Arabidopsis thaliana: one gene and its partner. The protein of the gene in region 2 interacts with the protein of the main gene of each other region in a pairwise test. Each region holds a gene or a part of one and is shown on either strand. Other genes may lie near its edges. The genes, in order: AT3G05400 and AT4G14815.

What was found.
Region 1: the proteins of AT4G14815 (region 2) and AT3G05400 interact in a protein complementation assay, tested with the Arabidopsis thaliana proteins (one large-scale study listed by BioGRID).

What each region holds. Positions count from the first base shown.
Region 1 is NC_003074.8:1,547,550-1,555,026, forward strand, and holds AT3G05400 (Major facilitator superfamily protein), read left to right. Parts: upstream 1-1,896; 5' UTR 1,897-2,152; coding exon 2,153-2,281; intron 2,282-2,863; coding exon 2,864-2,926; intron 2,927-3,186; coding exon 3,187-3,276; intron 3,277-3,394; coding exon 3,395-3,454; intron 3,455-3,591; coding exon 3,592-3,657; intron 3,658-3,733; coding exon 3,734-3,799; intron 3,800-3,890; coding exon 3,891-3,966; intron 3,967-4,065; coding exon 4,066-4,130; intron 4,131-4,230; coding exon 4,231-4,323; intron 4,324-4,484; coding exon 4,485-4,565; intron 4,566-4,681; coding exon 4,682-4,766; intron 4,767-4,854; coding exon 4,855-4,898; intron 4,899-5,040; coding exon 5,041-5,103; intron 5,104-5,211; coding exon 5,212-5,325; intron 5,326-5,603; coding exon 5,604-5,663; intron 5,664-5,771; coding exon 5,772-5,886; intron 5,887-6,274; coding exon 6,275-6,393; 3' UTR 6,394-6,670; downstream 6,671-7,477. Other genes in the region: AT3G05390 (S-adenosyl-L-methionine-dependent methyltransferase), read right to left, coding at 1-427; AT3G05410 (Photosystem II reaction center PsbP family protein), read left to right, coding at 7,234-7,477. UniProt on the Arabidopsis thaliana protein: Sugar transporter.
Region 2 is NC_003075.7:8,503,072-8,506,541, reverse strand, and holds AT4G14815 (Bifunctional inhibitor/lipid-transfer protein/seed storage 2S albumin superfamily protein), read right to left. Parts: upstream 1,500-3,470; 5' UTR 1,421-1,499; coding exon 1,108-1,420; intron 1,024-1,107; coding exon 997-1,023; intron 913-996; coding exon 782-912; 3' UTR 590-781; downstream 1-589. Other genes in the region: AT4G14810 (uncharacterized protein), read right to left, coding at 2,033-2,197, 2,302-2,397; AT4G14805 (Bifunctional inhibitor/lipid-transfer protein/seed storage 2S albumin superfamily protein), read left to right, coding at 3,343-3,470.

The DNA of each region.
Region 1 (7,477 bases), on a different chromosome or scaffold from region 2:
CTTCCTTTTCCGTTGAGTTTCTGATTCCTTCGGGTTTTGGCAACCGGATTTGCCTTAATCCGATATGAGCATAATAAAATGGCTTCATCACTTCATCTTCAAGAAACTTCTTCATCTCCTTTTTGCTTCCGTCTTTGCTCTTCTCCATATCTTTTACCGTCTTCTCTAGCTTCTCGTACAAGTTGTCCATCTTTTCTAGTACTTCATCAACACGATCGTGCAGCGCCTTTAGGTCGAATCCTTCGCTGCTGACTTCTTTGATTGTGTAGATATTGTTGCAAGTGTCTTCGTTTTGCAAGAAGTAACCCACGGAATGGAATCGGTAGAGACATGAGAGGCTCACAGTGATCACCAGTAATCCTAAGATGACTTGTAATCCTGCCATTAGTCTTCCTAATCGCCATCTCGGCAAACATGTTCTTCCCATTTCCTCTTCTTGACCAAATCTTTCAGTTATTGGTTCTAATTTTGACATAAGAAAACAGAGGAAAGTGTGAATCTTTTGTCATGCTTCAGAGAATATGGAAAAAAAACAGAGGAAAATATGAATCTTAGCTCAAATTAACTAAACAGAGAATAACGCTCCTAAAGCCAAATCTTGAATAAGTGATAAGTGAAAGAAAAAAACATTATTACCAGATAAGAATTAAGAAGAGATGCTCCTTGATGTTTTGATGGAAACCTTTCGTCTCTGGTGTCTCGAGGAAAAGTAGAAGAGATTCATGAGTTTGTTTTTTCAACCTCAAAGTTAAAACGCTATTTGAAATAGAGATCCGAGAGCTGCGGAGAAAAAGTGTGTGTTTTGTGTCTGCTTGAAGAATTACGGAGCTGGAGATACTTAAAGCTGAAGCCTAAAGCTGACTTATTGTGACTAAGTTTTAGGACAAAATCCACAAACTCTCTTTCACCAACGTGCCTAATTCCTTACTTTTCGGTGTTCTTCTGTGTCTTTGAATATAATTCAAAAGTCAACCATAGCTGATAAGTATATAATATACCAACATGCATACTTAAATTTTTTTTAAAAAAATTGTTAAATATAAGAGCACAAATCTCGTAAAGTTGTTAAGAACTTTGCTTTGCTATAGTGGAAAACAAACTAACAATATCATGCACCTTCCAAATTGAAGAAGAGATTCGAGGCAGAGGCAGACGCAGACGCATACGTCGGTTAACGGTTGGGCCGGTTATAACCGGTATATTTCCCGAAGAAGTTTGGTCTTCTCGACCTGGTTGCTAACCATTGCGCCGGAATCTATTTTCTTGGTCAAACCGAACCAAAGTCTTGTACTTAAATCTTGACGATGAAAAACAAAAACAATCATGATGATGAGTGTGATGCGATGATTAGGTGGAAGTTCAAAATACGTCTTTTCTTCCCACCTATTGATTAGACCTTTGATTTTTTTGGGGCGTCTTGGTTCAATGAATCGAGTTTCAACACCCAACGTTGTTTTGTGCGATAAATTTTGTTTTTTAAGTACCGTCAAATTATAACTATGACAGAATTTTTAAAACGATATAGCTACAATTGATTAATCAATCTAGTATATTCAAGCTTTCGACATCATAAACCAGCACTAAATTTAATTCAAGACAGTGAATAACAAGAGCCACACCCACATGTGTACTATGGTTTCGTGATTGTCTCGAACTAAAATGACGTGTCCGTTCTTCTCTCCTTTTATTTTTTTCTTCTTTACGAAAAAATGATTGAACCTTTTTTTATATTGCACTTCAACGGTTTTCACAAGTTGATGTTTCTGTCTTATAGTCCATAAATAAGTTCGAACAAGAAAAATGGCAACCGACGATTTTAGGCTAACGGCCTTATTGTTGAGGGAATCTTATTCAGATGAATGACTTAAACAGCATATAACCAAAGCAAACCGGATCCTTAAACCAAAATGTAATAAACCGTACGCTGGTTGATACAAACAATGAACATGAACCTAGACTCAATAAAAACCAGATGCATTTACATCACAACATAGCATGATATTTATTTCCATCTTTGTGGTTAACCAATCCTAGCTATTATACTAGCTAGCTAGTCTATATATCATAGGGAAGAGAAAGAAAAAACATTCTACTTCACGCAAATATTTTATCTCTTTGTTTCTTGTTCTTAATTAGGGTTTGATTGAAGAAAATGGAAGGAGAGAATAATATGGAGAAAGGATTGTTATTGGCAAAAAAGGAAGACAGTGCAAATACAACTCCACTTCTTATCTTCTCCACCTTCATCATTGTCTCTGCCTCCTTCACCTTTGGCGCTGCCGTATGTACCCATCTCTCTCTCTCTCTCTAGCTCTCTATTTCTTCTCTATATATGCACTCTCATATAGATGTTCCTATTAATTAGAACCAAATTCCAGATCTAGGCCAGAGGTATAATGAGCTAAGGAACAGATTCAAACCACCAACTTCTTTTCTTTAGCATTAATGTTATATACTAAACTTTATTGTCTTTCAACAAGATTGTTGTTTAGAAATTATTTTAACGCAGATAATCAAAACCATGATGATTTTTGGCCTCAGATTTGTAATACTTAATTTCGAATTAAAAGCTAAGTTTATATATATTGACAAAAGATGAAAAAGGTAATAATATAGTTTCTATACTATATATTATCTCTTCATATCTTCAATCTTGTGGACCTCGAAAATGTTGGATTGATAGTACGTGCTACCTATAGCCATATCTTATCTCGACATCTCTTTTAAATTTCAAGTTTCTAACCACAGTAAAGGTTAAAAAAAAATTCAAGTAATTGTATTAAAGTAAGAGTTTATAACTTCATTATGTATATAGAGTTAAAAAAGAACAACTTAATTATTTCTATCATCTTATGGTTCACAGATAGGTTATACTGCAGATACAATGTCCTCCATTATGTCAGACTTGGATCTTTCTCTCGCACAAGTAAGTCCAACTTTCATCACAATTTTTATGGGAAACAACATTAATATAATTTTTCAGTCAATTCTTCCAATTTTACAAGTGGATGGATACACGCAAACGTATACGTATTTTGTTGAAACTACTAGTTACATCGCTTTTTTTTTATATCAAATGAAAAATTATTTAGGGGTAACAAAATAGAAAAAGTTGACTACTGTACGAGCTCATATTGTTACAGTGATGACTAGTTAATTTTAATTTCTTGAGAACTATGTTTACAGTTTTCGCTGTTTGGTTCGTTGTCGACGTTTGGAGGAATGATCGGTGCAATATTCAGCGCCAAAGCTGCAAGTGCCTTCGGTCATAAAATGGTAAGTATCAATTATTCTCAAAATCACCCCTATCTTTCTTTTATTTTGTCGTAAGCCCAAAAATTTATATCGTAAATTTCTACACCCTCATTTTTTTTTGTCTTACAATATTTCTTAGACGTTGTGGGTGGCTGATTTATTCTGCATAACTGGTTGGCTTGCAATTTCACTAGCCAAGGTTCCCTCCATAACTTATATTCTTCTTTATTTTTGCAAGTTTAACAAAATTGTATATTTTATCACCATTTTAGTAATATAGTCTATGTTTTTTTGTAGTATATAATTCTTATTTTAAATTTCTTTTTTGGCACACAGGATATTATTTGGCTTGACATGGGGCGATTTTTGGTGGGAATTGGAGTTGGTCTCATTAGCTACGTGGTAAAGCTATTTCCTGAAAAGATGACAAAAAAAATATATATATATATCGTCGTAACCATAAATATTTTCTGTATAGGTTCCTGTATATATTGCAGAAATAACACCCAAGCACGTAAGAGGGGCTTTTACATTTAGCAATCAGGTGACTTACCTATTTAAAATCGAAGTTTAGACGTATATTATCATTTTATACATAAATTTGACTTATTTATTCTAACATCAATACTTCACAGCTTTTGCAAAACTGTGGAGTTGCAGTCGTATATTACTTTGGAAATTTCTTGTCATGGAGAACTTTAGCCATAATAGGTGATTCATTCCCATCAACTATCCCGATTTTAAAGATTCATTTCTCCTGATTATTATTTTATTTGCCCTAAACTAAAATATAGATATCTAATTAACCAGGTAGTATTCCATGTTGGATACAAGTTATTGGTTTGTTCTTCATACCTGAGTCTCCAAGATGGCTGGTTAGTCATATAAATCAATCGTGAAAAACTTATATCCATGAACATGATTGTTGTAATTTGTAAGTAAATATATAATAATATATGAACATAATATTTACAGGCGAAAAAAGGTCGTGATAAAGAATGTGAAGAAGTTCTTCAAAAGTTAAGAGGAAGAAAATACGATATTGTGCCTGAAGCTTGCGAAATCAAGGTACTCATACGTACAAATCAGTCCCACAAAATACAGATGTTTGACATAAATATATTTAAAATCACTTGTAGTCTTGTAGATCATTCATTCACCAAAAGAAAAAAGAAAAACAATCTACTCCTAAGCAAAAATTCTCACTTATACTTGTTTTAAATTTGTAGATTTCAGTTGAAGCTTCGAAGAAAAATTCGAATATCAACATTCGTAGTCTTTTCGAAAAGAGATATGCTCATCAACTTACAGTAAGAAAAGAAGAGTTTTATTCATTCATTAAATATATTCTAGTGATCTTGATTTTTATATAAGAACTGAATAACAAATTATTTGTTTTGTTTGGATTCGGTTGATTTTTGTTTAGATCGGCATTGGTTTGATGCTTCTGCAACAGTTATGTGGAACTGCAGGAATAAGTTCTTACGGAAGCACTCTATTTAAACTTGCCGGTAATCAGATTTATTTCCTAATTGAATTGTTTATAATTTAGTTAGGAATTTGTTTTTTGCTTTTCAAACTAATCCTTTGATTTTCTAGGGTTTCCTGCTCGGATTGGGATGATGGTGTTATCTCTTATCGTCGTACGTAAAAATTTATTAGATAGATATTTTTCTGTTTTAAATGCACTTTGACAAAAGAAAAAAAAAATATTATATATGATTGCTTCATTAATTGTATTCTCACATCCTGACCCCAATTTCTTATTAATGATCATATGCATAGGTACCAAAATCTTTAATGGGTCTAATCCTCGTGGATCGATGGGGAAGACGCCCACTTCTTATGGTTAGAAAAATTTAAATCTTTTAGGTTCAGTCTATCTTTTTTTTTACTGTGCAAGTAAAATAGTCCATAAATAAGATAAATTTTTATTTTCATACATCGAATTTGCAGACTTCAGCGTTGGGGTTGTGTTTAAGCTGTATCACATTGGCAGTAGCGTTTGGAGTTAAAGATGTCCCGGGAATTGGAAAAATTACTCCAATTTTCTGTTTCATTGGAATATTGGTAAGTTTTTCACTATTTGAATTTCACTCTAATTTATAATCTAAAAACTCTATCAAACTATATATTTACACAAACTTCAAATGTGTTATTCTGTTTTTCTTTAATATCTCAAGTACACTAAACCAAATTAGACAGCCATTTTTTTTAGGCAATCATACTTGATCAAAAATAATATGAAAGTCAAAACTCACAATATATATATATATATATATATATATATTGATTATTGTTAAATTTTCAAAATTTTGACTAGCTATAACAATTTATCATTCAAACAGTCGTTTACGATGATGTTCGCAATTGGAATGGGAGCGTTACCATGGATTATAATGTCTGAGGTATACACATATGAGCAAACATACTATTTTACAGATGTTTTTGGATTATAGTCATACCGATGATCATTTGTTAATTATTATTATTTATGTTAATTACTTTCTTGGCAGATATTTCCAATGGATATAAAGGTATTAGCTGGGAGTTTAGTGACCATAGCAAATTGGTTCACTGGTTGGATCGCCAACTATGCTTTCAATTTTATGTTGGTTTGGAGCCCAAGCGGTGAGTAACATAAAGCATATACACATTCGATTACAAATCAAAATATTCTATTAGTTTTACTTGAATAAACCGAAGCAAATATATATACAAATGCATAAATGATTTGCTAAATCCTAAATCGCTGCCTAGGCATGTAGGCATGCATGCAAGTCTTTTGTTTAATTCTTTCATGCATGCAAGTATACCGTATACGTCTCTAGTTTTTCTTTTATAACTTTTTCTTTTAAGGATGTTAATTTTTCTTTCATATGTTAAATTTGAATTAACTAGACTAACATGTTCTTTTTTCTTTTTGTATATATATAATACTAGACTAACATGCTTAATCGTGTGCTATAAGAAAAAAGCAATGGCTAATCCTGTCTATATAAATAAAAATAACTTGCAGGGACTTTTATAATATCCGCTATAATCTGTGGAGCAACAATTGTATTCACATGGTGCTTGGTGCCGGAGACTCGAAGATTAACGTTAGAAGAAATCCAACTGTCGTTTGTCAATGTTTAGGGTTCATCGGAAGCATTCATATATACATCATAAAGGTTGATATACTACATCATTTGCTACATATAATTCGGCTTCGATCGTATCCATAAATTATTTGATTAATTCAATATAATTAACTAAAGTTTCCATTGTTTAGTTGAACTCATTGAAGATTAGTTTATTTGTATACATATATATATATATATACTATTGTTTTTCTTCGGTAACAGTGCTGATTAAAATTCGAATGATGATATGCAGCCCTTACCACTTCTATAAAGTATAAACTACTATCGACCATCTTTTTATTTATTTTATTTTGGAGTTCTTACATTCATCATTATAATACACATGATCCTTAAAGCATATAGTGTGGTATATGTTAAAACAGAACAAACTACTTATATCACCATTTTGAACCTGTTTTTAGAAAATCCTTCTTTAAAAATTCAATGCTTTTTTCTTTTTCTTAACTCAAGTTCATTTCACCAATTAATAAGAGCACAATTCCTCCTCCAATAGATTATTCTCGATAAGAATTCACAAACATATTGATACATAATATATAACTTATCTAAATATAAAAAAAATTGGGTTGAAGTGTATACATGTTAAGTTTAGTGAAGTACTGAAAAGTATTAATGATTAAGGGTCTCTAAGTAAATTAAAGGATAGTGAAGTACTGAAAAGCAATTCATATTTTTGGGAGAGCGATTCTCTTTAAACGCTGCCGTTCGGCTGTTGTTCTAAACGCCACCGTTGGTAATTGTATTAAAACGTTGTCGTATAATCTCCCTCTCGAGGTGATAAGAGAGTCGACGGCAACACTCAGCGACCTCACTTAACGAACAGAGACGAGAAATGTCTCTGAAACCTTATTTCTCTCTACTATACTCATCTCCCACTAATGTAAAACTTTCCAACTTCTTAATCGCTCAACAACCCTCCGGTGACCTGAAAACTACCCCGGCCGAGGAGTTTTCTCCACTGGTTGAGAAATTCAACCGACGGCTTCTTCTGGGTGTAGGATCGTCCTCTGTTCTTGCGATTGGTGCGAATTTCGGAGGAACCACGAGTTTTATACTCGGTTTATCGCCAGGGATAG
Region 2 (3,470 bases):
CTATAAGAATCACTAAATTTAATAAAGTTTGCAGAATTTTTCTGTCAATCTCACATTTAAATTAGTGAATCACTAGTTTGATTAAGAAAAGTAGGTGTTAGTTAATTTCCATTATCATTGTTGCTTTGACTTCTCTAGACATTTGTTTGACTCTTGCTAGAAACTGTCTTCCAGATTTCAGCCAGCATATAAATGTTTGTCTATAGCTTTCACAACATATGTTCTGGAATATTAAAAGAGAAATACCAAAACGATTTACAAGTATGCAACTTAAAAATAGAGAAATTTTTGAGAAAGGCGATAATTCCCTTCGTAAAATTACCGGCAAAAGAAAAAGTGGATAGAGACGCGACACTCTGCGCAAAAGTTTATGGTGAACATTGAGCAATAACATTTAGGGTAACAGACAAAGCTCATATTTAGAAACTGTGACTAAAATGGCAACAATACATGTGTTTGTGATAGCAATCGTACTCCTTCTACAATACATGTGTTAGTGATAACAATAGTACTCCCTCTAAATTTTAAGTGATGTTTAGACATATGTTAGTGATAACAATACATATATATATCATGTATTTCAAATATGTCCTAGCTAGAAAATAATGTTTATTGCATAAATCAAAGATATACAATCACACTCTTTGGACTACAAACCAATATCACCTAGAAAGTAGGGATTTAGAGCACAAAATACTTCAGCACAATACACCGCGATTTAATAGAGACTAAAAATGAATATGTTCTTCAAAGAGGCCAAAAGCTTTATTGGTAAAATAAGTCAGTATTTTGCGTAGATTAATGTAATGTAAGAAGCTGTGAATAGGATGGCGAGAAGAGGGAATGAGAACTTAATAGAACCATCAGATGATGACTTTTCTCTTGGGACTGTTTTTGATCCATTTCCATGTTCTGTTCATAGAGATAATGTCAAAAAAGGATAATGTCAAAATAGATATGATTAGATTAGGTTCTATTTATAAGTTAGTCCTTTACCTGAATGTGAATTAACCGAAGAACCACCTGAAAATAATAAAGTTCTGATGTGTGAGAGAAAAAAGATAGCAAAAATATGAATCTAATGCATGGAAAGTGAGTTTATTTTACTATGGCAGCGACTAGCAGGAGGAGTTTCAACATGACAAGCTTTAGGCAAAGCAAGAGCTTGTGTCTCATTAACATTGATCCCAAGCTGAGAACCTCCACCATCGAGAACCTGACACAAACACTCAGAAGAATACCGGACAACATGAGCCAACTGGTTACAACATTGTTGAGACGGGAGAGAAGTGTTTTGAGTGATGAAGCTGAGACACGGCGCCATGCTGATTAGAACATTTGTGCAACTCGACTGAGCAGAAACAATCGACATTACTCTCATTAAAGCAATAAACAAGATTAAACACATTCTAGGTTTCATGTTTTTCTTGTGTTCCAAGAATCTCTCAAGATTTTTTTTTAATTTAGTTGTTTGATCGCTTAATGGTTTGTGTTGGAGTCTTTTCTTTTGTGGTTACGTAAATAAATAAGAAGTTGAGGCCGCAGAAAAAGACGAAAATAAGGATGTGGCTCAATTTGCATGACCAACTTTTGCAACACCTTATGGTGAAGTTTGTGAAAGAATATGATTACGTTTGGTTTAAGGATATGTTTGTTGAATTATTTTTTGTGATTATATAAAGTTTTTGAGTTTCACCTGATTGAAATTTGATTGCTGACCTTTTCAATGAAAAAAACAAGAAAAAAAATAAGATACGTAGATAAATTTGTAGAAACCATTAAAATTATAAGCAACACCAAACACTTACTTGTGAATTGTTCATTTTAATATGGTTGTTTGAGTTTATTGGTTTAATTTGTGTTGGAGTCTTTTTGGGAGTTCGTAAATAAATAGAAACTGATATATGTCGCATAAAAAAAAAAAACAAAAAGAAGGATGTCAGGATGTGGCTTAATCTGCATGATCTAACTTCTCTATTTGATAAAGAGCATGACCAACTTTTGCAATATAAATATGGTAAAGTTTGCGTTCTTATTCAGAAACTGAGATTCCGATATGCTCCACCATACGTAAACCATTATTAGCCAACACTTCACGATCTTCACGACCACCGAAAAACAAAACCACGACAAGAAAAAACATCTTCTGACGAAACTTAACTCGAACCACCGAGTCCACGGTCAACGAATATTCAAACTAAGCAAAGAGCCTTCAAGAAAAATTCTTCAAGATATCAGATATTTCACGAAGATATCTGCATAACAGCTACGAGGAAATTGTGATTTTATCGTTTCACAAACATCAACAGCTCCATGGATCGTTATGGACGGATAAATCACAATCACTATCCTTTTTCTAGCAGCTGTTGAGCAGGTTTCTTCGTGAATATCTGGCATTTTGGTGGATTTTACAGTTTCACAAGCATCAACAGTTCCATGGATAATTATAACGGTTTCACAAGTCTATGTTTGTTCGTTTTTTCTTTTTTTTAATTGTCTATGTTTGTTATGTTCTCTAAATTTATATTGATTCTCTAAATTTATATTGAGTTCAGTATGTTTGGAAGCACATGAGAACGTTCTTTTGATGATATTATTACCAGTATTCTATATTGGGTCATTCATAGTATTACTATTCCATACATTTCCTATTTGTTGTGGGCTGGTTATTCGTCAGCACCGATTTAGCTTACGATGTGTTCGGGAGCCCTCGTCCAAACGAATATCAACTAAATAAGTAATTAACTTTCCCACTTAAACTTTGAATGGATGCGGCGGACAAAAAGGTCTAATTTTTCTGCAGTTTAATCCATTTTATTTTTGGGCGGACAATAAATCGGTGCGTACCAAATTTATTTGTATATAAAAACGGTTTGCTGCGGTTTTTCTTTTTTTTTGGTCCGAACTACTGCGGACTATAATTGATGAATGGTAAATAAAAAGCGGTATGATCTGTTGAAGGTTTTGTTCGCCTCAACCGCCGTAACCATTAGATTTTTATTTATCCTCTTTAAAAAACAGAAGTATAAAATTTCAAAGTCAACTAAACTATAAAATGTCAAAAACATAAACTGTGGGCTTTGATATTCAATCTAAAAGCCCAAACGAAACTAATCTTCACCCACGTGGACGGACCTTAGTGGCCAGTCACTACCAACTCAGCATCACCCGAAAATATCAATATAGGGGCAAATTAGTAACTTCGTTATCAAACCTCCACAACTGTTTATTTCCCGCCACCATCGTCATACAATCTCAGTTATCGCTACGAATCAGCCATAAGTGTGAAATCTCTGTAACTAACTCTAATCACGAAGACGAGAGATCTCTGAAGCAACAAAAATGGCGACCAAAATCACCGGCGTTTTCATCCTCATACTCACGATCACCTTCTCCTCCTCCTCCGCCGTAACCGCGACGCAGCAAGCACCTTCGTCTTCTCCACCGGTTCTGACTTGTACGGAGGAGCT